Linked DNA regions of Lonchura striata. The protein of the gene in region 3 interacts with the protein of the main gene of each other region in a pairwise test. Links are inferred from orthologs where the notes say so. Each region holds a gene or a part of one and is shown on either strand. Other genes may lie near its edges.

The links.
Region 1: the proteins of APPL1 (region 3) and FARS2 interact in binary tests that used the Homo sapiens proteins (3 or more experiments, as listed by UniProt). The two-hybrid records come from large-scale screens. The link is inferred for Lonchura striata from reciprocal best matches to the Homo sapiens genes APPL1 and FARS2.
Region 2: the proteins of APPL1 (region 3) and UBE2O interact in binary tests that used the Homo sapiens proteins (3 or more experiments, as listed by UniProt). The two-hybrid records come from large-scale screens. The link is inferred for Lonchura striata from reciprocal best matches to the Homo sapiens genes APPL1 and UBE2O.
Region 4: the proteins of APPL1 (region 3) and FSHR interact in a two-hybrid assay, tested with the Homo sapiens proteins (2 studies listed by BioGRID). The link is inferred for Lonchura striata from reciprocal best matches to the Homo sapiens genes APPL1 and FSHR.

Annotation. Positions count from the first base shown.
Region 1 is NC_134603.1:94,003,340-94,011,076, forward strand, and holds the start of FARS2 (phenylalanine--tRNA ligase, mitochondrial), read right to left. Parts: upstream 3,017-7,737; 5' UTR 2,983-3,016; intron 1-2,982. Other genes in the region: LYRM4 (LYR motif-containing protein 4), read left to right, coding at 3,088-3,173. UniProt on the Homo sapiens protein: Is responsible for the charging of tRNA(Phe) with phenylalanine in mitochondrial translation.
Region 2 is NC_134621.1:4,067,284-4,074,320, reverse strand, and holds the start of UBE2O ((E3-independent) E2 ubiquitin-conjugating enzyme), read right to left. Parts: upstream 3,009-7,037; coding exon 2,628-3,008; intron 1-2,627. UniProt on the Homo sapiens protein: E2/E3 hybrid ubiquitin-protein ligase that displays both E2 and E3 ligase activities and mediates monoubiquitination of target proteins. Negatively regulates TRAF6-mediated NF-kappa-B activation independently of its E2 activity.
Region 3 is NC_134614.1:12,167,030-12,174,511, reverse strand, and holds the start of APPL1 (DCC-interacting protein 13-alpha), read right to left. Parts: upstream 3,005-7,482; 5' UTR 2,943-3,004; coding exon 2,889-2,942; intron 1-2,888. Other genes in the region: HESX1 (homeobox expressed in ES cells 1), read left to right, coding at 7,434-7,482. UniProt on the Homo sapiens protein: Multifunctional adapter protein that binds to various membrane receptors, nuclear factors and signaling proteins to regulate many processes, such as cell proliferation, immune response, endosomal trafficking and cell metabolism.
Region 4 is NC_134605.1:20,629,202-20,636,156, reverse strand, and holds the start of FSHR (follicle-stimulating hormone receptor), read left to right. Parts: upstream 1-3,937; 5' UTR 3,938-3,940; coding exon 3,941-4,116; intron 4,117-6,955. UniProt on the Homo sapiens protein: G protein-coupled receptor for follitropin, the follicle-stimulating hormone. Through cAMP production activates the downstream PI3K-AKT and ERK1/ERK2 signaling pathways.

The DNA.
Region 1 (7,737 bases), on a different chromosome or scaffold from region 3:
AGTGTCACAGGACATGCAATGGTCATTTGGGCTGTGCCTGTCCTTTGAATGCCCTGCAGGCTTGCAGTGGTGCACATAAACAAAGGCCAGCAGAACCACCTGTATCCCAGCCACAGCACTGTCCACTTCCTGAAGAATGATACAACTTCTGGGACCATAACCCATCATTTCCAAGGAAACACAACAACAAATGCAGGAGAAAGTCATTAATTTTTCTAGTTAACAGTGCCAACCCAACTGCACAAAGGTGACTCCTTTCTGACAAAATACCGTCCTTGAGTGTATTAAAGGTTAAGCTAGAAAAAGGAGACAAGAGGAAAGACTTTTCTCCTTTGATAAATTTACTTTGCATTTGATCATCCACTGTATGGGCTTACTGCTTATTCTAAACATAGGATATTTCTAGGTTTTTTCAAGAAAAAACAGGGTTACCTTAAAAAAAAAAATTAAAATTCACAAAAACTGTTAGGGAGTTTCAGGAACAGAATTAGCATCTGAGGCTATCTAAAAATTATTTCTGATTACTTTTCAAACATTAAATTAATACTGTTCTTGTAAACAGAATTTGCTGGATGCTTTCATCCCAATTACACCCTCATCTTTTAGAGCTGAGGATTATACTGTGAAAACTTTATTTGCAATAATACCTGAGGGCTATTGTAAAATTAGATGGAACAACTGCCACACTCATCAACAGTATGGTATCACATAAATTTGCTAACTCTCAAACCTAAGTTTGGCTGTTATGTGACAGCCCCATATCATTTTAAGCTGTCTGAAGCCCACCCTCATAAAAAAGGGCAGAGTGGCCACTGCTGCTTTCAGAGAAGGTAAGTCTGTAGACACAAAGCCAGAGTTCTTTTGTAACATGTATTATGACTGGTGCTGCCCAGCCACCAACAGCTGCAGAGATGGGGAGCACCAGCACCCCAGATGGGTTTTGCTTCTGGCATGGCAATCTGCTTTAACAACATGGCTTGGGCTGTAAGGAGAATTTGGTTGATCCCACTGGCAAATGAAAGGCATGCTTTCTTTGTATTTCTCTATGTGGGTGTCCTGAATGCCAAGACCTAACCCAAAACACACTGGTTTGTAACTTATAAGGGAAGGCCTCAGAAGCATGATGCTTATCCCAGTACTGCAGCTGCATATGTTTTTCTACATTTCCTGTAATACTTATAGTTTGGGATAAACTAGAAAAAAGAGATAAAGAAAATATCCAGGAAATTTTCTACATACAAAAACTCTCAGTTTTCCAAAGCCTAAAAGGATTGCTAAAACACAGCATATCTGTGAAGGTAAATTTGAAATAAATTCATGTCTATACTAATTACATCCAAAAGCACAGAACTATTTTAGTTCTTTGCAATGAACTGTAAATTGCATCAGATGTACAACTGATGTTAATACTCAAATGCATATGCAATAAAACATGAGTTAAATTAGAAGTGGCAATTGAAGCACTTTTGCCAGAGACATGTGGAATATCTACATGGCAGTTGTTTTAAACACCTACCATATAAATAGCAACCTGTGAAAAAAGCAGGAACCCTGTCATGATACCTGAAAGGAGGTTCTAGTAGTGGGGACTAATTTCTTCTGTGTGACTGCAGTGAGAAGACCAGAGGAAAGGGCCTTAAACTGAGACAGGGGAGATTCAGATTAGATATTAGGCGGGGAAAAATACATTGTTATGGGGGTCAAGCATTGGAATAGGTTACCCAGGGAGATGGTGGTTACCATCCCTGGAAGTGGGCAAGAGACTCCTGGATGTGCCTCTGGGTGAGATGGTTTAGGGGTTACAGTAGCAGTGCTGGGTGGACAGATGCACTGGAGACTAAAGGTCTCTTCCAACTTTAATGATTCTATGACTAAATAAATGGCTGATAAACTTCAAAAACCAGTATTAAATATAGCTGCAAGTTACAAAGTTAAGTTTATTCTGCAGTGGCAAAAATTTCAGCAAAGGAAGACATGTGGTTTAAATAACAGAAATCATCTTAGAAACAGATATTGAGAGAGGAACAATTCAAACATCACTATAACAACACAGGCCCTGGTACGCTAGCACAGATGTACAATGACTGCAATTGTCTATAGTGATTTCAGAGAATCACAGAATGTTGGGGTTGGAAGGCACCTCTGAAGATCATGTAGTACAACCTTCCTAACAGGTGACACAGGAATGTATCCAGGTGGGTTTTCATTGTCTCCAGAGAGTGAGACTCCACAAGCTCCCTGCACAGCATGTTCCACCTTTTCTGCTATCCTTAATGTAAAGTTGTTTCTCACATTGAGGTGAAACTTTGGTTTCTAGTTTATGGCCACTGCTCCTCGTCCTTTTGCTGGGCATCACTGGACATGCTAGCCTCTTGTAATCCACCTGTGATATACTCAGATGCATTAATGAGATCCCCTCTCAGTCCTCTGCTCTCCAGACTGAACAGGCCCAGCACCCGCAGTCTGTCCTCATGAAGACAGATGCTCCGGACTCTAAATCACCTTCGTGGCCTCTGGGGAATCCTCTCCAGTACATGAATTCTGACTGCGAATGTATACAGCGATTCCGAGGCAACCCCCTGCACACATCACTTGTTGCTCCTTTCCAGCCCCGACATCCATTCCCCGGCAGCACCCCCCTCCCCCTGCGGCACACCGGGGCGCGCACACCGCGCTGCTGCGCCGGCCGAGCATCGGAGCGCTGGTTTCGCTTTCCCCGTCGCTCGGGCCTCCCCTCCCCGCCCTCGGGCCCTCCACAGCCGCACGGCCGAGCCCGGCAGGCACCCCCGGGCAGTCGCGCCTTGGGATCCCTGCCGGAGCTGCGGGCAGGCCCGACGCGGCGGGACCCGGGAACCGGCCCCGAGCGCCCCGAGCCCGCCGCCCGCGGGCCGTCCCCGGCCGGGGACCCGCTCTCGCCCGCCCCGCGCGGCCCCGCCCGCGCCGAGCGCCAGGCCCGGCCGAGCCGCGGCCGCCGCCACTCACCGCCCGCCCTGCGGCTCCGCTCCGCCGCGGCTGCGCCCGGCGCGGGCGGCGGGAGGGCGGGGAAAAGGGGCCTCGCCGCGGGAGGAGCGGCTCGGTGTCGGCAACATGGCAGCGTCCAGCCGTGCCCAGGTGCTGCGGCTGTACCGCGCCCTGCTGCGGGAGAGCCAGCGCTTCAGCAGCTACAACTACAGGTGCGGGGAAGGGCTCCGGGGGCGGCGGGCGCGGGGCACGCCGCCGGGGCGCGGGGAGCGGCGCACGGAGCTGCGGCCTCGGGAGGAGCCGAGCCGTGCCCTGGAGCGACAGCGGGACCCGCACCGGGCCTGGGCCCGGTACCGGGCCGGGCCCGGCTCGGAGCGCAGGGAATGGGCAGCCCCCGGCCCTCTGCACTGCCGCAAAAGCACCAGCGGATGGATGTTAGGAAGAAGGGACAGGACAGGTTGTCCCAAGTACTTGTGCTGGGAGTGGACTCCTCAATGCACGAAGGACAAGGAGCTGCTGGAGAGGGTCTAGTGGAGGGCCACAAAGATGAGGAAGGGTCTGGAGCATCTCTCTTCTGAGGAGACACTGGGAGCTGGGCCTGCTTAGTCTGGAGAAGGGAAGACTAAGAGGAGAGCTCATTAATACGTGTGAATGTCTCGGGGATGGGTGTCATGGGGATAATGCCCGACTCTTCGGTGGCAACAGGATGAGGAGCAAAGGCCACAAGCTAAAGCACAATAAGTTTCACTTCAACATGATTAAGAACTTATTAACAACGAGGATGGTGGGGCACTGGAACAGTCTGCCCATAGAGCTCGTGGAGTCTCTCTCTCTGGAGGCATTGAAAACCCATGTGGATGTGGTCCTGCTCAAGGTGACCCTCCCTTGTCAGGGGTTGGCCTAGATGATCTCCAGAAATCCATTCCAATCCTAATGATTTTGTAATTTTGTGAACCTGATATAGCTCATGTCTGCTCCGTGTGTTGCCGATTTCCTGGCAGAGGAGAGCTGGGGTCAGGCTATTGCCAAAACTTGGCACCATGTGCTGTGTCCATGCTCAGGGTGCACTGAGGAATCAGAGTTCACTCTTCCGACCAAACTGGATACCAGGCTCTCTGCCTGCCTTCTCTGGCTGTGAGTGAAAGGCATGCACATTTTTTTGGCAAAAGTTAGGTGTAGGCCTGGTCACTTTAGCTATCCGCTGTGTTCACAGGGGGTGCTGCTCACCCACACTGACAGAATTGCATTGCCCAATGGTAGTTCGTTTACTTTACCACTCAGCTGGACCTCGGGAAGGGATATGTGAGCTACCTGTGCTGTGAATCATCTCTCAGGCAAGAACTGGGAACAGAAGCCTTTAAACTTGCATAATTGTGGTGAGCTCTTTGCTCTGCAAGGCACAAGTATTCTACAAACCTCAGGTGTGAGGGAGTGCCCTGAGAAGAAGGACTATGGGGCTGAAAATGAGCTGGTGCTAATAAACATTTGTTGCTGACTCCATGCAGCAATGTGTGTTTGTAACACATTCTGTTGCTATCAAGGCTTTCTCCTGCTCGTTGCTGTCCTGAGTGTCCCTGGTTACCCTTGTTCTGGCTAACAAAGGCAGGATTGTAATCATGGAGATGGGTTGAGATGCGCAGTTGGCAAACAGCTGAATGAAGCTCATATCTGGGCCGTGGCGTGTTTCCAGCAATGGGTTTGTACTTTGGGGTGAGCAGTGAGGAAGTGAAGTCCACAGCAAATTGTAAAGGATATAAATGATATGGTGTGTTTACCAGGAAGATCTGGTTTTTTTGACACCACGTCACAGTGCAAGTTGCGCCTTTCCTTAAAGGATAGATCTCTGGTTCTGATGGGGCTATCCTTAGATACTATAAAATCAGAAACTGTCTAAAAACTTATGCTGTAGACACGTTTGTGAGCATGAAAAGCCATAGCAAGAAATGTTCGGCAGCTGTTACATTTAGAGGTCTGTTCCGACCAAAACAGTTCTGCCTCAGTGTTTACACCACACCCATAGGTAAAAAGGACACCCCATTGGCTTCTTGCTTGCCAAGATAAGCAGCCCTGCCGTGTCCTCAGGGCTGCTGTAATGTGATATGGCAGTTCATGGAGTTAACCCAAGGACTTCGTGTGAAGAACCAACTTGCAGCCAAGTAGAAGGTATTACAGACTATTGATTCATGACTTCAGCTAGACAGTATCTGAATAGTTTATTACTGCAAATTGTGTATTTGTAAGAGTATGTCTGGAGTACGATCAGCTAATTAATGTCTCTTTATTTGTTTACTGTGTTTTTTCTCCTAATTTGGTTGCTCTGGTTTAACTTAGCAGGCAGCTAAACACCACTCAAGTGCTTGCTTGCTCCCGCCTATCCCTTGGGATGGGGGAGAGAACTGAGGGGGAAGAAAAAGTAAAATTTGTGAGTTGAGATTAAGACGTTTTAATAGAACAGAAAAGGAATGCATAATAATAATAATAATTAGAATATACAAAACAAGTGATGCACAGTACAGTTGCTGTCAACTGATGCCCAGCCAGTTCCTGAGCAGCAGCCCACAGCCTACTTGCAGGTGGGTTGATGTGAGAAGCTGAAAACTTCCTGACTTAGTATAAACCCTGCTTGCTAAGATATTGTCAATATCACTCTCATCCTAAATCCAAAACACAGCGCTGTACCAGCTACTAGAAAGAAAATTAATTTTACTTCCCAGACAAAACCAGACACATGTATGAGTAGATGGTGATAGAAAATTCAACTTTTTTATGTCTCTCTGAGTAAATATATTCCTTAAAGTAACTGTCTTAAAGTAACTGAGGTCACCACTGTCAGCCTTCGGAATAACACAGAAGCATCTCCAGTGTCCCGAAGTAAATGTCACAGGGTGTTTGGACACCCAGAAGTGTAGGCCAGCTGTAGGCCAGGTTTTAACAGCAGGGAGAGAGAATTTGGTAGACTGTAAGTAATTTCATGTCTGCCCTTCTGCCCTATTACCCAAGCAGACAGTCTGAGCATGGGCGAGTGATTTGTACTAGAGGAAAATCAATATGCAGAGAGGCAAGACGTTAGGTTTTGTGTCAAAGAGCTGGTTTTTAACAAGTGTACTATTTTCTTCTGCTTGGTTGACAAAAAGTAGAACCTCTGATGGTTTATATGGTTTATGTTGGATTATAGTCTCAACTAAATGGATTTAAGTGATATTTCTAAATATCATTAGTGATTTAAATAATGGCATGTTGTGACTGATTTGGGTACAGAACACAAAAGAATTTATAAACTTATGGAAGCCAATAAAACACATATGGTTGCAAATTAAGATAATCAAAACTTTAAAATTTCTTGTTTGTTTAATGTGACTGAATCTCAGTGGTCTTAACACATGGGAATCTCTTGGAAGGCAGGTCTCTCCAGGGCAGTGCAGAACTGGAGCAGGTCTTCCCTGAGAGAGTTTGTCATCTCCTTTTTTGAAGGTTTTCATAATAGGTTTATCCAAAGAGCATCATGGCTAACCTCACCTTGTTGCATGCAGATGTCAATTATGACATTGACCTGGAAAAGCTCCAGAGTCTAGCTAACCAAGTTAGTATGATTTTCAGATCCCTAGCCTTCCTGACCCTATAAAGGTACTAACAATGGGTAATAAGTTCAGGGTAACATCATAGGACATGCTTCCAGCTCATCTGCTTTCTGTTTCTTTAATTTCTTGTAGTTATGTGCAATGTCAGAAGGTTTGAGCCTCTCTGTTGGAATTTATCTGCAAATAATTTTTTAATGTTTTTTAATGTAATGATTTATTGCAAATTTTTTTCAGTTATCCATTATGTTCTCTTTTAAGTGGTGGAAGTTGTATTTTTATTTATAGATACATTTCTTTCTCGTCTCTCTAAATTGCATTTTAATGGAATTTGATTTTTCTTTTAGAATGTGCACTATTATTTGACTAATAAAGCTACCCAGAATATAGAAGAATCAGGGAAGAAAATTTGTCAAAACAAATTTGTTGATTGGTTTTGCATTGGAAACAAGTTAACTGAATGCATGCAGTTTCATCTGAAACATGTCCTTCAAGATTTTAAAACTGGTAAATCTGATTTTTGTAAATGACTGCTAACCTAGGAACAAAACTGAGCAAAATAATTTGCACTGGTCTTTTTCAGTGCTAGTTGCTTTTCCTACTTTGACTGACACAGTTGTTGATGTGATTTTAGGGATTCATGGAACACAGAACCACAAAACGGTCCCAAGATTGCTGCCCCTTTTTCTTGTGGGGACTCAATTTACCAGATGTCTGCTGGGAATATAATTCCACAGAGAGAAAGGAGTCTAGAAGGTTATTGGAGTGTGTGGAAGATAAATTCCTAATGCAGCTGGTGAGGGAACCAAGTAGGGAAGGTGCCCCAATGGAACTGTGGTTTGCCAAGAGAAAAGGACTGTTGTGTGATGAGAAGATTGGAGGATGCTTTGGGCACGGTGGTCCTGAAATGAGAGAGTTATCAATTCTCACAGAAGTAAGGAGGGGCATCAGCAGAACTGCCCCCTTGGACTTCCAGAGGGCAGATTTGGGCCTGTTTAGGAGACCTGTTGGGAGAGTCGCTAGGGAGACAGTCATGGAGGATAGTGGTTTCTAGGAAGGCTGGACATTCTTTAGGACAGAAATCTTCAAGGCACAGGAGCAGGCTTTCCCCATGTGCTGGAAGAGCCAGCAGGGAAGAAAACCAGCCTGGCTGAGCAGAGAACTCTGGAGGGAACCCAGGGGAGGGAAAAAAAAAAAAAAA
Region 2 (7,037 bases), on a different chromosome or scaffold from region 3:
CTTTCTCCTTCCAGGTCTGCTTAGGTTTTACAATGCTCAGCGACAGTGATTTCCCAATGTCTTAAATGGGTGATACTGCCATGGAAAGCAGAAAAGGAGCACTTGAAGCCACAGAGAAAGAAATCCTGTCTCTTTTTATTCACATAATTGTTATGCTGGGGAACATTGTTATCAACAGGGGAACCAAAGGCAGGAATGTGCTCACATGTGCAATTCTTGGAGGAGCTGGTGGGGTTTTGCACCAACTGCCGAGCTCTATCTCAAGAGAAAGTTTCTATTACTGACTAATATCAGTAATTGTGTGCCTGGGTTTAAGTGGCATTCTGCCTACCATTCCCAACAGGAAAGAGCAACAGCAAGCATTGAAACAGAACCAACAGCAAAAATTACTGGACAACCTACACCAAAAAAACCCCAAACTGTCCAAGAAAAGACAGGAAAGCTCAAGGATTAATTGGGTACAGAACACTGCTTTTGACCTTTGCACTGGAAGCCAAAGGTGCTGTTTCACTGGACTCAAACTTCCCAACAACTTTATTTCTCCTTCGGTTACAACACTTGCTCTATCCAGTACACATCAGGATTCCCAGATCCTGAAGCAGCTGACAAACAGGAGGTAGACAGGCAGTCTTCTGTGTGGAATCAGGACCTGATACACTAAATAGATACACAAAAGCCCTGGCCCCAAGAGCACCTTTACCCTCTGCCCATTCCAGATTTAAGGGAAATAAAAGAGTGCAACAAGCATCCTCTGGAGTCCAGGGCTGAGCTGTCACCAGGACAGGTTAATGTTTTAAGGACATCAAATAAGACCCTCACAGCCAAAGATGCCAGAGAATCAGGCACAGCCAAAAGATGTACCTGTAGGCAACAGCACCAAAAACTTTAGACCCAGGAAAAACGTATAATGGTTTGTACCAGCAAGGACAATGACAAGCCTGTCAGGCTTACCTGGCTGGTTCTCACACATCAGTGGAACCCAAAAGAGACTGGGTCAGCAAACAGCTAAAAAACCCAATTATAACCACAAAACCATGATCAGTCCCACTGCATGTTTCCAGTGGCATCAGGTTTGTTTTCAGCAACCCCAAACTGCAGTACAGACTGTACACAATGCCTCTCAATTTAGTTAGTGGGCTGCTTTCCAAAAAAAAAAAAATCAATAGAAGTACACCTAAATTTCTCTAGCACTCAGGAAACTTCTCTCCAGGGTCCATTACCCGAGTGGTAAAGGCACCTACACCAGGGCAGCAGCACTAAAAGGAAAAACAGAGACTGTTTATTTACATAAGTGTCTTTGATTTCTGATCCCCCTCAGTCCAGCTTCTTCTAACACTGCAATGGGTGTAGTTACCAAGTGACTGAAGTCAGAGCTAACACTTCTGGATTTAGGAACCCAACAGCACCAACTAAATCCACGGTTACTCACCCAAATGGAAGTGGCTTTGCTTAGATGCTGAAAACCAAACTGAACTTGGGACACATTTTTGCTGCAACAACACATGAAGATTTTACTGGAAGGCTGCAGTGATTGAATTGTGGAGTTTTTTCTAGGGAAAAGAGGTGGTTTTTTTTTTTTTTAAGGTAGAAATACATAACGTGGCAGTATCTTTTTCAGAATACCTGTTTTCATTTTCCTTATCTCCAAGCAGTCACGTGTCTAATGACACTACCACCTAAATTTAGCTCATTCTGTAGCGCTGGCAATCCTAGCGATGCCTTTAAGACTGCAACACACCTTTCTTCCTCTCAGTCTCCCCTCTCTCCTGCGGCGTGCGGGGCCGTTTCTTTGCCTTCTGCAAAGCAGACGGTTCTCCAGAAGCCTCCTGCTTTGCACTGCCAGCCCAGAGGAGCAGGGGCAGCCTGCAGGGACAGCGCAGCTCAGTGCAACGCCCATCCCTGGCAGCCCCTTTGTGCTCTATTACAGTGCCCCCCTCGCCTGCTTTTGTCTCCGAACTGTCAGTCAGCCTGGGCTAAAAAACCCCCGGCCAGACCAACTTTGCCAAGTGGGAGTATTCCAAGGCAGACCCACACCTTGTGCCTCGTCAGATATAATTAAGATGCCACAGATTTACGTGCAACTCATTAGCAAGGGGTAAATGCTCACGTAAACAAGGGCAGATCCAAACCGTGTTTGCTTCCTGCTGAAACCTTTATCCAGGGGTGGTTTCCCTGCTGGACTGCTGACTCCCCCTAGCACAGGCGGTGACGACACTGCTCAGTAAAGGCTGAGACACCGGCCTACAACTCCAGCAAGTAGGAGCTGTCTGGAAGTTGGCTCAAATCACCTTCACAGGCCCACTTCTCCTTCCGCCAGCGAGCCCCACCGCCTCAGCACAGCAGCCGTGCTCTGCCATCAGCGCAGGGCAGCAGCAGCATCCACGCTGGGCGGCCAGAGCGAGCGTGGCGAAGGGAGGGAAGGGGATTTCACACTCCGGGGAACGCCGGCTGTGTGTTCTGGCTGCACGGGGCAAACGGGGCAGCGACCTCCCCCCCGCTCGGGAGCCTCCAACGCACCCGACCCCGCAGGCCCTGCCCCGGGAGGCCCCGGAGGCGGCGCCCCGGTCGTGCAACCGGCGGCAGCCCCGCGGGGAGGCCCCGGGCCCGCGCAGGCCGCCCCCGGTTACCTTGGTCTCCTTGACGTGCTGCTTGATGCCCTCCGGGTACCACTGCACCCGCACGTAGCCCCGCCGCAGCGGGCTGGCGCGGCCGTCCTCCCCGCCGCCGGCCCCGGGGCCTCCCGACTCGGAGCCGCCCGAGCTGGCGGCGCCGCCGGCCGCGGTCCCGCGCCCGCCCTCCTCGGAGTCCTCCTCCGAGTCCTCGCCGTGGATGAGGCGCACCAGGCCGAAGCGCACGGAGCCGCGGTAGCGGCCCGACACCAGGTCGTGGGAGAAGAGGAGGCGCTGCGAGCCGCCCGGCGGGGCGGAGAGGGGCAGCGCGGCGGGGGGAGCCGGTGGAGCCGGCGGTGCCGGCGGTGCCGGTGCCCCCTCCTCGGGCTGGTCCGCCATGGCGCCGGTGAGCGGGAGCGCGCGGCCGGCGGGAGGGGGAGGGCAGGGGAGGGGCGGCAAGTAACGGCCCAGGGGCGGGGCCGGCGGGCCACGCCCACAGCCGGCACAGGCCACGCCCACAGCCGGCGCAGGCCACGCCCACCGCGGCGGGCGGGAAAGGGGCGGGGCCTGGCGGGACCGGGACCGGCCCCGCCGCGTTACCGGAGCTGGGGCGGGGGCGGCTTCGTCTGCTGATCCCGGGAACGGGGATTGCATCACCGCCCCCGGGGATGGGGGGATTGCATCACCGGCCCCGGGGATGGGGGGGTTTGCATCACCGGCCCCGGGGATGGGGGGATTGCATCACCGGCCCCGGGGATGGGGGGATTGCATCACCGGCCCCGGGGATGGGGGGTTTGCAGCATCGCCCCCGGGGATGGGGGGTTTGCAGCATCGCCCCCGGGGATGGGGGAATTGCAGCATCGCCCCGGGGATGGGGGGTTTGCAGCATCGCCCCCGGGGATGGGGGGATTGCATCGCCGGCCCCGGGGATGGGGGGATTGCAGCATCGCCCCGGGGATGGGGGAATTGCAGCATCGCCCCCGGGGATGGGGGGATTGCAGCATCGCCCCGGGGATGGGGGGTTTGCAGCATCGCCCCCGGGGATGGGGGAATTGCAGCATCGCCCCCGGGGATGGGGGGATTGCATCGCCGGCCCCGGGGATGGGGGGTTTGCATCGCCGGCCCCGGGGATGGGGGGATTGCAGCATCGCCCCCGGGGATGGGGGGATTGCATCGCCGGCCCCGGGGATGGGGGGATTGCAGCATCGCCCCCGGGGATGGGGGGATTGCATCGCCGGCCCCGGGGATGGGGGGTTTGCAGCATCGCCCCCGGGGATGGGGGGATTGCAGCATCGCCTCCGGGGATGGGGGGCTGCAGTGCATCGTTCTCTGACCCACAGGGGTGTGGAGCTGCTCTGCATCATCTCCAGGGATGGGGGGACGGCATCATCGCCCTCAGGGATTGGAGGGGCTGCATCTTCATCCCCAAGGATGGGGGAGACTGCATCTTCATCCCCAAGGATGGGGGAGACTGCATCTTCATCCCCAAGGATGGGGGGACTGCGTCTTCATCCCCAAGGATGGGGGGGACTGTATCATCGCCCCCAGGGATGGGGGCTGCAGTGCATCCTCCTCTGACCCACAGTGGTGTGGGGCTGCTCTGCATCATCCTCAAGGATGGGGGGGGGTCTGCATCATCATCCCCAGGGATGTGGAGGGCTGCACTGCATCGTTCTCTGGTCCCTGGGCATGGGGGGCTGCACTGCATCATCCCATGAACCCCAGGGATTGGGAGGGGAGGCTGCATTGCATCGTCCCCAGGGATGGAGGATGCTGAGCTGCATCATCCCCTGGTCCCTGGAGATGGGGGGGGGCTGCAGTGCATTGTCCCTGAGCCCCAGTGGTGGGGGGACACTGCACCTCATCCTCCCCGAGTTCTCAGTCACTGTGGGCTGCCCTGCATCACCTCCCCTCCCCACTGATGGGGGCTGTGCTGTTTGCAGACCCCTCAGCCTGGGCACAGGTGGGGGTCCACCCTGGCACTGCTCGATGCTGGGAGCTGTTCTCCAGCTGACATCAAAGCCTGGCCTTGCTTTTCATGGCTCCTAGAAGCCCTCATTAGTGTATGCAAATGAGCAGAATATTTGGCTTCATTGACTCTAAGGCTTTTCCCCCTCTGTCTGCAGAGATTTTGTAAACAGAGAAGTTTTTTTGAGCAGGTCCTGCTGCTCTGGCAGGCAAAGGACTAAAGGAATCCAAAATAGCCTTCACTGCCTATCTTTTAGCACAACACATTCTGCCTCTTCTCTTCCTGGACCTTCCTGCCTGTGCAGCACTGGCTTGAATATCACAAAAATGCCTGAAATCCTCAGCCTAATTTGTTCTCTTGCAGCAAACACTCCAGGAGCAGCAGAGCAGTGTTTTCTCTCTTGTTCTCTCCCTCAGACTGCTCTGCCTTGGCTGGATCAACCAACTGGCTTTCAGTTCACCTTCCAAGGTTTCTCCATTTAGGAAAAACAACCAGGATAAAGGTGGCCTGTGCTCACCTCCTACATTCTGGAACCCTCTCTTCAAGATTGGGATTTTCCAATCTTGCAAATGGCCCTAAAGCTCTGGGAAGCAGCTGAGACGATGCTGGGCAGGCAGTGTGTGGGTGATGGGTGCACTGGGAGCTCTGCCCAGCTCCTCACTGCCCCTGGGTGTGGGTGGCAGGGCAGCAGGATGCTTGGAGGGATGGAGAAGTACAAACTAACCCTGTCCTGCCTCCAAATCAGGGAGCTGCAGGCAGTGAAGCCCTCTAGCCCCTGCCTGCTCCCAGGCCAAGCCAGCCTCCACCCCAGCATTTAATCTCTCCCCACAGCATCCTGTTAATGAGAAAGGCAGTGTTTTAATGTGATTCCTTGCTGGAGCATTTTTGGCTTCAACCCCAGGGATAAGAAACAGAATGGAGCTAAAAGGGACCATTGGGTGGCTAAAAAGCATCATGCCCCACAGGGAAAGGCAGTTTAAATACCCACTCAGTGCCACTGTGGATTTACAGCGGTTTCTAGGGATGTGCTCCTGGGAACACAGACCTACATCCACGTGCCCTGACCTCTTAGGACAAGCTGTAGAGTTGATAGGCAGCATTCAGAACTTCTAGAGCATGAGTGTCTCTGGCATGAGGATTTCACCCTCTGACCATTGTTGTGCTGGAGGGGGGAGTATGACACATTTCCCCAGGGCGTTCATCCAGCCACTTGGAGCTGTGGACAAGGTAGCAACTCCTCTCCCTCTGTAGCCAGGGAGAATTGTGCCTTTGTGGGAGCAGAATCAGGCCTTTGAGAAAGGCAGAAGGTGCCCTTTGATTCATTTAATCTGATGCCATGTCTTCTCGAGGTTTCAAAGCTGAGCTTTATCCAGCACAGCGATAAATGTACATCTCCTTAATGTACATTGCAACAGCCACTAATAAAATATAGATACAGTAATGGGCACAATCATATGTGGAGATGGAAACTGTCCCTCTTCAGGGCTATTATGTGCTGAAGAGCAGTGGTGGGGTTTCAGGTAGCCACAAATAGCCATGAAAACAATCACATTATACCCCTGACCGGGCTGACGGCAGGGGGATTATAATGGGGACAAGTAAGGGCTGTTTGCTCGTTAGCAGGAGTCGAGCCGGGTGTGTTTTTGCACTCTGATCCCTGCTGGAGCTCTGATATGCTTCCCTCAGGAAGTGGCACTGAAGGAGGACTGATTGCTTTTTTAGGACACAACAGCCCAGGGCCTTGGCTGTCACAATATTGACAGCCCGCAGATTTTACAGTGCCTGGGTGTCAAAATGAGCCTCTCCTATTTAACATCACTATTCAGATGTCTACTGAGGCACCTCTGCAAGTCCACATCACCCAGCAAAACACGCAGGACTTTTGCAAAGTGACACATGCCAAGCAGCCTCGCTGCCTGTTTAGGGACAATTCTTGCTGGTAAGGCTGTTTTGGGAAGGGACGGCCTTTACTCTGCAGGAGAACATCCTCCCTGGAACCAAGCTGTCCCTGTGATCTAACCACCTTATGGCACTTAGGTTAGATCACCAGCGTCTCCCTGCTGAGATACTGCTGCCCGGAGGGTGTGTCAGAGTTCCCAGAGGGTGCCAGAATACCCAGAGGGTGCCAAGATGCCCAGCAGGTGCTGGGACACCCGGGATGCCCTTTATCTCCCTGTAGAGATACTGGTGAAAAGCAAGCCCTGTCCTTCCTCCTCGGTTCTCTCCCAGGGCCTTTTTGCTCAGGGATTAAGGGCCAGGTGCTGGGGTGCCCAGAGGGTGCTGGGGGGGCCTGCCAGGTGATACCCACAGGATACAAAGAGGTGTGGCAGGTGTAAGGACGCCAGCAGGGTACCAGGATGTCTGCTGGGTGTCGGGGATGTGTGCCAGGCTCTGGGATGTCCACAGGGACTGGAATGCCCGCTGGGCGCCGGGATGCCCACGGGGGATGCCCGCAGGGT
Region 3 (7,482 bases):
AAAGGACCATGCTTTGTTTCTAGGATTACACTAAAATTTATGTCCAGGAAGAAAATTTAAATAATCATAAGCACATAATTGATTTTCCCCCCAAACTATGATTGTTAAACACTTGAAATTGGAAATTATATTTTTTAGTCTACTCTAGGCTGTCTTGAAATTACTGATATCTTTAGTCCATCTCCCCTTGAAGCATGAAGGCCTTTTTCAGCTATTTCTGATTTTTTGCTTTTAATGATAATCAAAGAGTACATATTAAACCCATATAAAGTATATTTATTTAACAATTCTTTTGACATAAGATATTTTTATCTAAGTTGCATTATTAAATACCTGGCTGTATCACAACTACTGTCAAGCTATAGAACATCTAAAAGATATTTAAACATTAAAAAACATCATCAGCACAATAAATAGCTTTAATGATGGTTCTAATTTATAAAAGAAGTGGAAAGAGGTGGAGAACTCAAATCTTTGCCAGGTGTGGCAACATATGACATCCTAACAGCCTTGACTGCGCCATTAAGGTAGACATACACGAAAGAATGCAAAAGGAAAAATTACATGGTACTATAACCATTGAATTATATACTCATGACCTTTAAACCTGAACATAAATAAACCTAAGCTTGTAATTTTAAAGGAGTATTATGTAAGGTTTCTAGATTATGCTTACTCTTTAAAACTGAACATGGAAAAAAAAATTTTATGTTTTACTTTAAAAATGTCTGTTATTGATGCTCAACTGTTAAAACAATATCATATTATACTAATGGAAAGAAATTAATCTGAAACTGTAAATACGTTACAGCAGATCACTTGTATTTCTAGTAAAACTCTGCATCATTTGGCATTTTCTTTCAGTGTCTTTCAATCCGTGTTTGTGAGCAAGCAAGGAAAGGACCAGGAGAAGCTGCACGATGAAACCCCGCGTTAGAAGTCAGCTTTAAGCTGTCTGTGCCATCAGCTGGAGGGCACTGCAGGTGACAGGAGACAGAGCCTGTGCTACCAGTCTTTTGGCTTGTTTGTTGTGCAATGCTTCGGGAACGCAAATCAGTGTGAGCAGAAACTCTCCAAATACACACTGACTTCCTGTGTAATACATGTCCTAGGTTAATAAGTAAATTGCCCTGTTTTGCATAGCAAAGACTATGTAAACTTGGCGTTTGGTTTGGGCCTGACAAGCACAGTGGTTAGATTTTGATCCTGTGACAACAGGAAATGAATGGGTTTGGACATTTTGAAAAGCCTTTCCCTCCCTCAGACACAGAATAAGTTTGATATGGCGTTTATATACCTACAGTCAGTGTCTGAAACAACAACTCCAGGCCATGGTGCAGCACTAAACAATCACCCAGGCTGATGGGCTTGGCAATATTCAGCATGAATGTATTCAAGTCATAGCAACTCCTCTAGAGAGGCTTCTGCTTTCTTCAAGCAACATTTGCTGCCATTTCCACCACGTTGACTTCAAAGTAACAGAAATTAACTAATGTAACAAATTAGTTAATATAGCAATTAACTAATGTAACAGAAAATCACTGAGCGCTTACTAGAGAACCCGGCTCCCAGAATTCATCTGAAATATTAAATTGACTGAAATATGTAAATTTTCTACCTAAAACAAAAAACAATATTGACAAATCCAATTATTTAAGCATCTCAAACACAACGGGCTGAATTAGCCTTTGCTTGTCTGTATCACAACTAACCTCACATGGAAGATTCTAGAATTATAACTGCATTCCAATAAGTAACATTTTCTCATGTGCTTCCCAAATGTTCTCAGATAGTCCTAAATTCATGTTACATTTGACATTTCCTATAAATACGAATAGTTCTGACTTCCTCATACTAAGAAAAGACCTTCCAGAGATAATTTTTTAAAATCAGTATTATTATAAGACTTTCAAAATTTTTTCCTCTTCATGAGATGACAGCAGGTTTGGCCCCTGGACCAGAACCCAGATCTCATCTCATATTCAGCATTTGAGCTATCTGGGGCACTGTCCTTGGGAAATCAATGACTCCTTTTGTGCATGGCCTTCTCCTGCCTTTTTAAAGTCATCCTTCCACTTGATAGAGAATTGTTAAAATAATTTTAACTTTAGGGACTAAAGTTCCCTTCTTAACAAGCGAAAGTTTCTCTTCCTGTGAGCAAGGAATTAAAACTACCAATGCATATGCTATTGCAATAAAGGACACCCTGCTCACAACGTAAACCATGCACCACAACAAGGATCTTAATTCAAAAGGCTGCCATAAAAGAAAACACATTGCAAACTTTTCCCCACATCTAAGAAGCACAGCACAAGGACCTGCTGTTGCTGCTGCCAACAAGAGAAACCAGAGCCACTGAATAAAGCATTTCCTACTTTAGAAAGAAACTCCAGTGCTAGAGAGCATCGCTGACACAGATCAGGCAGCAGCTACGCAAGAGAAGAATCGGAGCAGGAGAGGCCTCCGGGCACCGTGCGCTTCCCACCGCCGCGACAGCCTCACCCAGAACCGCTTCTCACGCGGCTCCATTAAACCTTAACGCGCCTTAGCGAAAAACAACGAGGAAAGATCGTTTTGAGAAGGCGACACGGGTTTTGTGGGCACGAGGTGTCCGAAACGGAGCCTGGGAGTGAAGCGGGGGTGGGGATCGGAGCCCCGCTGCCGGCCAGAGGCGCCGCGGCCCCGCAGCCCCCGGCCCGCGGCTCTCCCGGGAGCTCAGCGGGCGCTCGCAGGACGCGGCCGCGGCGGAAAGCCCGAGCCGAGACCGCCGGAGCCCCGCGGGGCCGGGCGGCAGCTGGGGCGTCACCCGTCCTCCCGGCTCTCCCGGGGCCGGGAACAACACGGAGGCAGCGCTGGCCCCGATACGGCCTGCGCTGGGCCGGTCTCACCTGCGGGCTGTCCTCCAGCGTCTCCTCGATGGGCAGTTTGTCGATGCCGGGCATGGCGGCGACCGCGCTGAGCGCCCGCGGCTGCGCTCCCCCCGCCAGCCCCGACCCGCCCCCGCGCGCCGCGCGCCGGACGTCCCGCCCCCCGCGCGTCCCGCTTCCCCATTGGCCCGCCCAGCTTCCCCGTTGGCCCGCCCGGCTTCCCCATTGGCTGGCGAGCCTGCCCGTTCGCGCGCAGGCGCGGGGGCGAGGCGCTCGCGCTGCCCCTCAGGCCGGGGCTGTCGGGGCTCGCCTCCGCTGAGGTGGCTGCCGGGACTAAAGTCCTGCCTGCCGAGCAAAGCGTCCTCCCAGCCCTGTCTGTGCTCCGGGGGCTGCTGGCGTCTTCCCACAGACAGTTACCTGGAGGGCCGCTCCACAGCAAGGGAGCGCTGTTGGGTCCCTGCCGTTCTGGAGCGTCTTTGGCACTCTTGCCATGTTGTTTGGAGCACCCCTTTTGGCAAGTCTCCTCTTATCCCCGCCATGTGGATGGGCCCCAAGTGGACGCCATCCTCTTCTACTGTGCTTGCAGTGAGACGCCAAGAGGCCTTAAGCTGAGACAGGAGAGATTCTGATTAGATGTTAGAAAATAGTATCTCTGCTCTCTTAGACTGAATAGTTGTGGTGCCATAGGTTGGTGGCAAATTTTAAATGCATAAAACTACTGTGAGGGCTCACTGTAATCAAAACAGATCATTGGTTGGACTTGGGAACTGGTTCAGCTCTGAAATTACTTCGAATTGTAGAATCCTTAAGGTTAGAAAAGACCTGAGATCATTGAGTCCAACCCTTAATCCAGGAGCCCGTGTTCACCACTAAACCACGTGCCTGTGCCACATCCTCACATCTGGACACTTCAGGAGTGGTGATTTTCAGTGCCACCCTGCCCATGGAGAAACTGTTCCCAATATCCAGTCTAAACATTTCCTGGCACAACTTGAGGCTGTTTCCTCTGGTCCCGTCCCTTCTTGGACCTGGGAGAAAAGAATGATCCCTATCTGGCTACAACCTCCTTTTCAGGTAGTTTTAGAGAGCAAGACCTGGTAGACTTGATGATAGTTCTTATCTGGCGGGAGAAAAAAAAAAAAAAAAAAAAAAAAAAAAGGCTATTCCCTTGCTGGTTTTGCCTTTTTGGGGCCAGGTGAATTTAGTGAAGACCAGATTAGAAAGCATATTAAGTATATTCATTCAGCAGAGCAAATGATCAATTATTGTGGTGCAGTCTTGCTATGAGACCATTCTTTATGTTGTATCAGGTTATGATTTACCATTAAAAGCAGATAAAGGACAGGACGGGTGTGTTAAATTGCAAACAAAGATTTTTGAGGTGGCTTTTGTTTGTTTGTTGGTTTGGGTTTTTTAGGGGGTGGTGGGTGGTTTTGTTTTTGGTTGTTTTTTTGTTTTGTTTTTTTTTTTGCTGTTGTGTTCTTTGTTTTTCCCTGTAGGGAGTAGTAAAGAAATTTCCAATACTGTTCAGTCAATTAATTTACCAGCTCAGCTGGTGACTCACCTGACTGAAGCAAGTCACAGCACCTCTCCCTTTCCCTGTCAATAAGGGTAATAATTCAGTGTTATCTTACAAGGTGTTTAACAGACTAAGTCCTGTCATGGACATTAACATATCATGATGTATATATATTTGTGCTTTCTGGTTTTGAGACAGTTAATTTGTGACCAAGCTTTACAGCAGTCTTTACAGCAATAAGAAATTACTTTGTTTTGTACTGTAAGATCATTTTCCCAGTGGAATTCAGGAGGTAGTAACTTTAAGTGGGTTTGGTTTAGTTCGCTTTGTGTATTTACAGCTGTGAGTGGCATCCAAGAGTTTTACTTGAGCTACAAATTTGACTGCAACAAATGTAAGAGTAATGAGTTGAAGAATCCCTCTGCATCCTCTAATTGTTGTTTTAGTGTTACACCGTTTTCAGCATTGTAGACCTTTTGTTAGTGTGAGTGGGGTTTTTTATTGTTTGGGCTTTTTGATTTGTGGAGTTGGGTTTTTTGTTTGGTTTGGGGATTTTTTTGGGCAGTTGTTGGTTTTTGGTTGTTATATTTTGTTGTTGTTGTTTTTTCTGCAAAATATCTTCTAAGAAGCCTTAAAAATATGGAGAATTAATACTTGGCACTTTGTCAACAGAGAGAAGAGCAGTGAACATGTCTTCAGAGGATTCCAGAGGTGTGCCATTATGGGGAGAACATTTTGCCTCTGCTGGAGGGTGAAAGTAGCTCTGTGGATAAGGTAGGTTTTATTTGCAACGTTTCCCACTTTTTAACACACTTTCTTATACTTTTGCTAGTGGCAACCTTGGATTAACCTTGAATTTAGCTGCATTCACTTAATCTTCCTGTGTCAAAGTAGCTTTTACTTCAAGAAATAGCTAACTGCTTTGTTTTGTGAAAATTGGTGTACTGTTTTGAGGTATTCTTGCTTTAAAAAAACTTGGGAATTCTGAAGTTGGCTTTGAAAATAATACTTGTTATTTGTGTTAAAAACATATTTGAAAAAGAGCTTTATTGCAGCATGACTTCTGAGGTGGTGAAATACTGGGTAAAGAGGTTGTGGGAAAGGTGAGGTGAAAAGTGAATTTTTGGAGTGTGATAAGTAATCAAGAAAGATAATATATACCATTTATACCCTTTTAAAAATCTGAAAATGTTGCCCAAGCTCTAGGGAAAGGTGACCCAGCAGTGCAGTAGCAGTGGTGAGAAGAGCAAAAAGCAGCAAGAGTAAGAACTGGGCCTTCAGACCAAAACCCCAAGAGCACTGGTGTGGTTTCCTCAGCTGGAGTAAACAGCTGGTGGAGGCTTCCCATCTCTGGAGAACGAGACTCCTTCTCCTAAAGAGATGAACTCCACTGTCCCTGGGTGAAAAACAGTGGTGCAGAGTCTGAAAGGGAGATTAGTTTCCTGCCTCATCAAGTATGTGATGCTGTAAGAGGATTGGATTTGCATATCCAAAGGAGCAGTGCGTTTTCCTATTATTGATTACTTAGGATTCCCAACTTAATGTTTGCTGTGTTGCTCTAATTACCCCTACCAAGGTATTTAGTTAAAGTCTATAGGTAATTTCAAATGGGTTGCAAGGTAGTATTGGTCAATACTAATGGGCCAAACAATGAAATACAGTTTCCAAGAGAAGGCTTAAGGTCCATAAATGGTGACTGGAGCTCATCTTGCAAGCGAAGATTGCAGGCGGATGCATGCTGCTTCAAGATCCATTGATATGTGTGAGAAGTGTCCTTGGTAAGATCACTTCTGGAGTTGTCACTCTTTTAATAGTTCAGTTTGACAACAATCTTCCTGCACAACACAAAGTCAGGCCAGAAGGTGGGGTTACTTTTCCTCCCAAAATAAAAATATTGTTTTCATTTTTGCCTGTTACTTTTGGACAAATCTTGATTTTATAGTGTCTCTACAGAAATTCCTCCTTTTCTTGTCCTGAACCAAAAGCTGGTTTAGAGCATGTGATGTAAACTGCTGTGTGACTGACAGTTGAGCTTGAATATAAAAATGTTATAGTCTGTATTTTATTATAATGGATGAAATCAGAATTCTGTCAGATTTCATTGCAAAGACTTTATCTCCTTTCTTCCCATTACTCATAATTGTTTTTATGATTTTAAGTGTTGGCTCCGTACGATTTAAATATGCTTCTGTTTGCTATAAACCTACAAGAAGGGAGAGACATCAATGAGAAAAAGCATGCTTCTAAACCTGTAAATTTGAGTGTACTACTTCTATTACTTGAAACTTTGCCTTTATGTAGTGAAGAATTATCAGGAAATTTCATATCTGCTATGTTTCAAAAAGGCTGCAACAAAGTTATTTTAATAAGAAAAATGAATGCATGAATTATTTAAAATAGTTGGTGCAACTGTTCCTATTAACTAATCCAGGCACTTGGAAGGCAATTACACTGAGCTTTGACAACACTGCCAACCCACTGCACAGTGCCTTATGCCAAAAGCTATTGTTGTTTTATTGACCACGTTCACCATTACATATGCATATGAAAAAACAGAGGCATTTTCATCGGGATTACCCTAATAGCATTAAGAGATTATTTTTTAAATTTCCTTGGAAGGAAATTCACTTAAATAAGATTACTTATTACTTGACTGGTTTCCTATCATGCTTCTATGCTTAGGTAAGTGGAGTCCATTAGAGTATAAAGTTTTTTAAAAAACTGATTTTATACATTAATGATTTCAAATAAAAGAGAAGTACTATATTTGTGCACAGCTTCTTTTGAGAAAGTGAAGTCGATGCTCTGGTTAGGAGAGATAACACTCTTTGTCCCCCTTGGTGGCCCCCCTAGTGTCACCATTAGTTGCTAATTACTTGCAAACAAATAAACAATTAACTCCTCGTGCCTCTTGGTGGGAGAGTTTTCATTGACATGCTAAAACTTTCTAATAAAAGATTTTAATTAATGACGTTACAAATCCAACCCCCTTGTCAACATGGCTATAAGGAGGACTTGTGGAGAAATGCAAGTACAGTACTCCTGCTATGCTGGCTGAGGGCGAAGGCATGGCCGGTCCCTCGCTGTGTGCTGCCA
Region 4 (6,955 bases), on a different chromosome or scaffold from region 3:
GGAAACATCAGTAGAAACAGTATTTGCTTAATTAGCTGTCATGCTGTGTTTCAGAGGAGAGAAACACAAGCAGATGCTGCTGTGAATTTGCTTGCCTGTAGGTTGATGCACTCCAGCACCTGGTGACCTTCCTGTCTTAAGGAAAATCCAACAGCTGGATTTAGGTGCTGACCTGGCCACATGTACAGTGCAGTGAAAGGGCTCAGAGCTCTCTTTGAAGAAAGTTTATCGAGGGCAAACGAAAGAGAGATGGGATGGCTCATTTTATTTCCCACTGTAACCTCATCCATCCAGGTGACAGCATGGCCCAGGACAGGCACTGCTGCTTGGTCAGAGGATGAAGTCTGTAGATCCCCTTGGTTCCTCGGGCTCAGTGTTTGTAAAATTCAACCAGAGCTAATTTTAGAGGCCAGTGCTGACTTTAAAGGCCAGTCCTATCAACCAGACTCCCTAACTACCATCTTAAGAAAGATCCCCTGTTGACTGCATAACCTTGAATTAACTGTTTGTCTCAGACACCATCTAATTTCATAATCTGTAACACCATCATTGAATATCTGTCGTAATTCACTTAATTGCATCTCTGTTGCTACAGTGCTTCAATTTGGGGAAATTTCTGTTTTCTTACTCAGGAAAACAGTTTACACTCTCAAGACCAATTTGCCAGCTGGAGCATAGTTCTGCAAATGGATGCAAAGATAAGGCTCTCATAAATATCTGAAAGCACCATCATCTCTGCATTTACACATTCAACAGCATGAATCTCAATGGCAGTGCAGGCTTGCTCCTAGCACATGATTCTCTGATGGTGGTCCCCTGCAACAGGCCCTGTGGGTTTTCAGGCATGGTCATAGCTCCAATCTGGCACTCAGGAATTACTTGGGAGTGCAAAATCCACAGAAAGATACCAGAAAGTGTTTTTTTCCCCTCTTTTACAAGAATTTTCTTCTCAAGAGGAGATAACTGTGCTCCTGAACTGGGAGTGAGAGGATCACCAGCTGATTAATCCATGCAGGGGACTGTGCTGATGTGGCTGTGTGCCATTTGACAGTCATGTGCAGAAACAGGACAGAGTTTCCCAGTTCAAAACATGAATAGACACCAGAATCTATTCTTTAAGGGCTTGGATCATATATTTAAAACAACTCAGAGATCCTTCTGAATGTTCATGTATCCTCAGGGAGTTTTAGTGTGGTCCTGATTTAGTGCTTGCTCCAATATGAATGAAATGTCAGTTTTGTTTAGCATACTAGCCTGATTTTATTGAATGTAATGATACTTGCATGTTTCCATCAAAATCTTATCTGTGCAGTATTACAAGAGAATCTTGAAGTCTGGATAAGGGGTTTATATTATTTAATAATTGTCATCTCATTCTTAACTGATGTAAGTGAAAGTGGAGCAGTGTGTACTGTACTGATAAAATGGTCTCACCAGATAAAAATGGAAAAGAGACAACCTCCCTCCAATTTTTATTCATTATGTTCATGATTTACTACTGAGCCCAGCCCGATGTTTTAAAATATCTCTTTTAAAAATATCTCTTTAATATTTTAATATTTTAATATACCTCTTAAAAATATGTTTTACTAGCTGTATTAAAATCAAACATACTTATTATAGTTTTGGTTTCCCCTAATTAATTTGAAAAATGCCTTGTAATCATTGTGATATTTTTTGATCTCCTGACTTTTATATATAGAATTATTGCTATCATCTGAAACAACTTTCGTGGTTTGATATATGAAACCCAAAGTTAATCAAATTGTGATGTCTTAATATGAGTGAAAATTGTTTTGACATTCAGAGAATGTTACCACTTTTTCAACCATGTCATAAATATTACTATCCATTTCACCAATATAACATGACCATTTACACTGATGTATTTCAGTATGAAGAGATACAGCTTAAATTCCTTTTTATCCAAATACTCTTGTACCTTTATATTCTTCAAACTTCACATTTCATTTTTTGGAGATTTTCTCAGCCTGCTTTTAGTCTGTGACTGCAGGAGTTAAGGACTTTGTATGGAAAAGACAAAACCCCAAAAGCTTTGAATGCTTTGTCCTCCTGGCATTTGTTTAAATCCTGAAGTGTGTCGTTATTCCAACTTTCAGTGGGCCACAGCAAAATGTTAACTAAATGGGAATTTATTTGATCATAGGGTGCAATTCTGCAGTTCTCATCCCATTGGGGATGAAGGTGACTGAAGGTTTTACTCATTTCAGAAGACCTTGTAGGTTTAAGATCTTTCAAAGGAAAGGGAAGAGAGAGAGATAAGGAAAAAGTCAGTCGGTAAGGTTTTAGAAATTCTTTTTTCTGGAAGTCACTGTTATTCTCATGAAACTTAGAAAAATGGACTCTGTTATACACATACAACTAAAAGAATACTCTTACAACTCATTAGAAAAATAGCATTGTTAGAAAAAGATTGTCATGTTTTTTTCTTTTTTTTCTGTGAATATAAATTCTCATCTTGAGTAGGTTTTAACGACTGGGTGGAAAATAACAAATATTTGGTACAAATAGGGTAAATCTTTTTAAGAATTATTGTAATTATTTTAAAATATTAATTAGTTAATACATCTTAAGATACATCTATATTATGAGGCTTGTTTTAAAAGTGAGAATGATGGAAATTTTTGGCCATATAATTCAAAGAAAAGATGTTGTCTTTTGTCTCATTACATTTTTTAATGCTTTTTGATTATGAAAGAAAAGGAAAGAACCTAACAATTTAAAAGAGCATGACAAACAAGCTAATAGCAGCTTTTAATAAGATTATGAAATCCTTCCAAGCAGTGGGAAGAATTAAATGTGAGGTTCAGCAGAATCACCCATGGCTCCCTCATGTATTTAAAATGCACATGATTTATAACCTCTGTGTGTCTGAAACAGCTATTTACAATTTAAAAGAAAAACAAACAAACAAAACACTCAAAAAATTAAAAAAAAAAAAGAAAAAATGCCACAAAATCCTTTATGTCAAGATGCTCATTTCAGGTGTCTTCCAGAAAAGCTCTGGTTTCAGGTGATGGCCTGGTGCTTGACTCAGTGACAGCAAAGAGTTCACATGGCCCCTCTCTCAAGGATTAATATTTGTAGTGAGATAATTTAGCTCAGTCAAAAAAGTCAAGAAAACAAATAGGGACTCAAAGACAAGATTCAACATCCAAGTCTTCTGATGATAATCTTGAGGCTGTTTTCCTCCTGTTGTGTCACAAATAGTCATTTGGCAATATTTCTAGGATTTCTGTTCCACATGATGAAATTAGTTTACCAGTCCACAGGGACAATTTGGATTTTGGAGTTTTCTTCTGTTTGGATTCCAATAAAGATGCCAAAGGAAAAAGGGAGATGAATCAGCAACTGCATGAAAATTAATCACAGTTGTGAAAAAAAGGGTGTTATTTAGCTCTGGTTTCAGGTCTTTTACCTCATTAGGCAGACTATGTAGAATAATAACACCTTACTTTTGCCTAGGAGAAATACAAACGCAGGGGCCCTTGGATCCATGAGTGGGAGCATAAATAGTGGCATAAATAGAGTGCTTCTCCTTCAGGGACAAAAAGGGTCTGGGCTGTAGAAAGTAAAAATGCTTTGCTGTCCCTTGGTTTCACCAAGCAAGATATGAGAAATAGTGTAGCTGAGAAGGAAGAACCTTTTCCCAGCATATTAAAAGAGCCCTGGTTAGTACAGCTGGGCCCCCTGATTTCAACACCACTTGAAACACAAAATACTTGTGTCATGAAAAAATCAGCATTTGCTCATCTCTATCCCCACTCCAACACCATAAGGAATCTGGGGTCATGAAGCGGAGCTTGCCGAGAAGTCATCCCCTAAGAGCCACATGGTTTGTCCCAGCTTTTGGGGCGGATCTTCCATCCAGGGAGCTGGCCTGGGAGGTCTCTGCATGCTTCCCTTTCCGATAAAGGGGATGGGCACGGACGTGGAGGCAGAGATGCCTCCAGCCCTCGCCTGCCTGCTGCTGCTCCTGGCGGGCTGCCTGGGACACCAGCATCACGCCTGCCGCTGCCTGGCCAGGGTCTTCATCTGCCAGGAGAGCCAGGTGCTCCAGGTTCCCCGGGACATCCCTGCCAACACCACCGAGCTGTAAGTCGGGAAAGGGAGCGCTTGGGAGCAGCAGCCTTGTGGCTGGCTCTCCAAAGGAGCTGCTGCTGGGCAAGGCAAAGGTCAGGTTTGCAGGGGGTCACTTGGGAGACTTCACGCCAGCTGCTTGCAGAGAACAGCCCTTCCTCCAACACGCACTTAATTGCACCTTGAAAATCCTCTCCATTTGTCTGATCTTGAAACTCTTCTCCATTTCTCTGATCGTGCTCATTGTAAGATGTCTGCTAAGAAAGGATTTTGCACATTATAATGCAAAGTGCAAGCAAAATTTGAAACAAGCATCCTTGGTGCTATGACAGTAATCTGAAACATAAAGTCGAAGCTTTTTTACAGCTTTGCTTTAGCGTTGTCGGAACGTGCAGAGCAATTTGTCTGCCCCAAACTACTCGATGATGAGTGTTTGTTTGTACTGCAGGAGCCTTCCAAAGGTTTGTGCTCGTTTGCCAAGAAGCAACTTAATGTTTTCCCTTTGAAATCTTAAAGGCATTGCAGAAAGGACTCTGATAAACATTCAGAGAGGGATCCTCCTCCACCAGAGGAGCAGCGTGGCTGTGGTTGGAGAGAGTGAGCAATGTGAAGATAGAGGAGGGGTTTTGTCTATCTTAAAGCTTCTCATTATTTTTCATAAAAGTAATGAAAGCTGTATGGCAACTGTTTTCTGTGTCAGTAGCACAGGCAAGTGAACAAGCTTGCGCAATGGCAAGTATCTAACTGCAAGAGATTGTTTTCATTTTAATAGTTTTAAGGCAAATATCTCCCTTTGCCAACACCCCCACAGACATCTGGCATTGTTACAACCTAAAGCAAAACCAAAAGGAGTAGTCCTGGATGAAGCCTTTGGTTAATAACTGAAGTGACAAGTTTGAAGGGAGGATACAATGAAGAATGATGTGTCACTAGTTAGAAAAATATACCCCCATTCCAGTCTTACATACCCCAGTATATCCCTGGTTATTATGCCACAGTTTTCCTAGGGCAGAAGTTTTGTTTTCTTCAGAAGGAGGAGTTGTTATGCTCACTGACTAAGCAGACTGCAGTGAAAACTTGAGAGAAATGTCTGAATTAACCACAAAAGGTCAGCAAAAGTTTAAATCATTCTCACAATTGGAGGAAAAACTAATCCATCTGTGATTTAGGTCGTCTAAATCCTGAGTGAACTGTGCTCCAGGCGTATGCAGCTAATTTTGTTTAATTTTGCTTTGATTATTTCTTTAGATTACACAGTTAAGGTCTGCCTTCTAGGGATTAAGCAAAAGCATTTTTTAATTATTTCTGCAAAGAAGTAGAGTATCGCTGAAAAGCACCTGTTAGTAAAATGGGATTTGTTTTCTCCTTGTTAACTTCTCAAGAGTTTGTTGAGGATGCTAATTTGTGGGTTCTTAGCATGAGTGTTATTCTTTGAAACAGGCAGAATACAACATTAGTGTGACTGAAACAGCAAACAAATCCTTTCTTCTGCCAGTGCTGTGCAAATACTGGATTTAGAATCTCTCAACTTGACTCTCTTCTCACTTTCTCAAAATAAACCAGCTTTTGGTTTCTCAGGAAGTAATTCAGGTCCTATTCCATTAGTATAGCCCTGGGACTGATTTCAGCATGCCTTAAAAATTTGAAAAGTGCCTAAAGTAGCTTTGAATATACCAAACCTTAGCATTACCAAAGCCAGATACATTAGCTGAAGAGCTATCAAGTGACAAATAAATCTTAGATTTTTCCTTCAGGATCAACGGGGAACTCTAGAAAAAGTGCTTTCCTCTGCATCTCTCCACTGAGTGCCCAGTGGGGTGATTCAGGTGACTAAAATAGGTTTTACTGCTCCAGATGACACTGCAGGTACACTCCTGGTAGCAGGAAAATCTTGCTTTATGTTTTCTCAAAAAGTCTTAATGGGTGAAAAGAGTTTTTTGTTCAGTGTACCAACTTAAGCACAGAAGGCCATGGTGTCTAAGAACCCTGTACAGGACACAAACAGAGACTTCTTGCTATGTACAGCTCCTGCAAGGTAATTTTTTCACTTATGAGCTCATTCTGGGAGTCTGGATGCAGTCTGTTTTTATTTAATATAAAGGAGAAGGGTCCACTTCATTACACTTCCAACTCTTCACCTTCCCTTATGTGATCTTGATAGCTTTCCTGAGTTATCTTAGAGTCCTTCCCTAGTGCCTTTAAAATGTTGAATAGCATGTTGGTGAATGTTTTAGAGTGAGAACAGGAGCCTGATCAGCCTCAAGCACTTCTCCCTTTGCTGTGTGTTTGTATTTCACTACAACTGTGTCTGAAGTTGGGACACAGGCATGTGGCAGCCAGCTCTGACACTTGCTAGGAAAACTCATTATAAAGGTAAAAACAGTGCCCTCTCTAACAATTATCTCTTTGCCATCGCTGAATTTTTTAATTGTTATTATTTTTTAGTGCTGCCGTGAGGGATTTCTTTGTGGTTGGCTTCACAACAGAGAGAGCTTAGGCTCCAAGGGAAACTTGAGCTCTGCAGTGTGGTGCATGAGACAGGGGTTTGATCCTGGCTGGATTAGCATCTGCTTTAGCAAGGGTGTTGCAGAGGGAAGGCTGGTAGCCTCTTATGTGAGTGATTTCATTTCGTACTTACCTTGCGGAAACAGAGCAGGGATCAGAATCCACATGCTTCCATCACTCTAATTTCTGACACATCTACTTTGTCACTTACAGGCCAAAATCTCATGAGAGATTACAGGCCAAAATCTCATGAGATTACACCTTGGTTTGTCCATTGCTTTTTGCAGATTTCCAAGCACTCTGCAGCTGGCATGTTCTGGTGTTTATAGGGGAGGCTGTGGTTATTAGC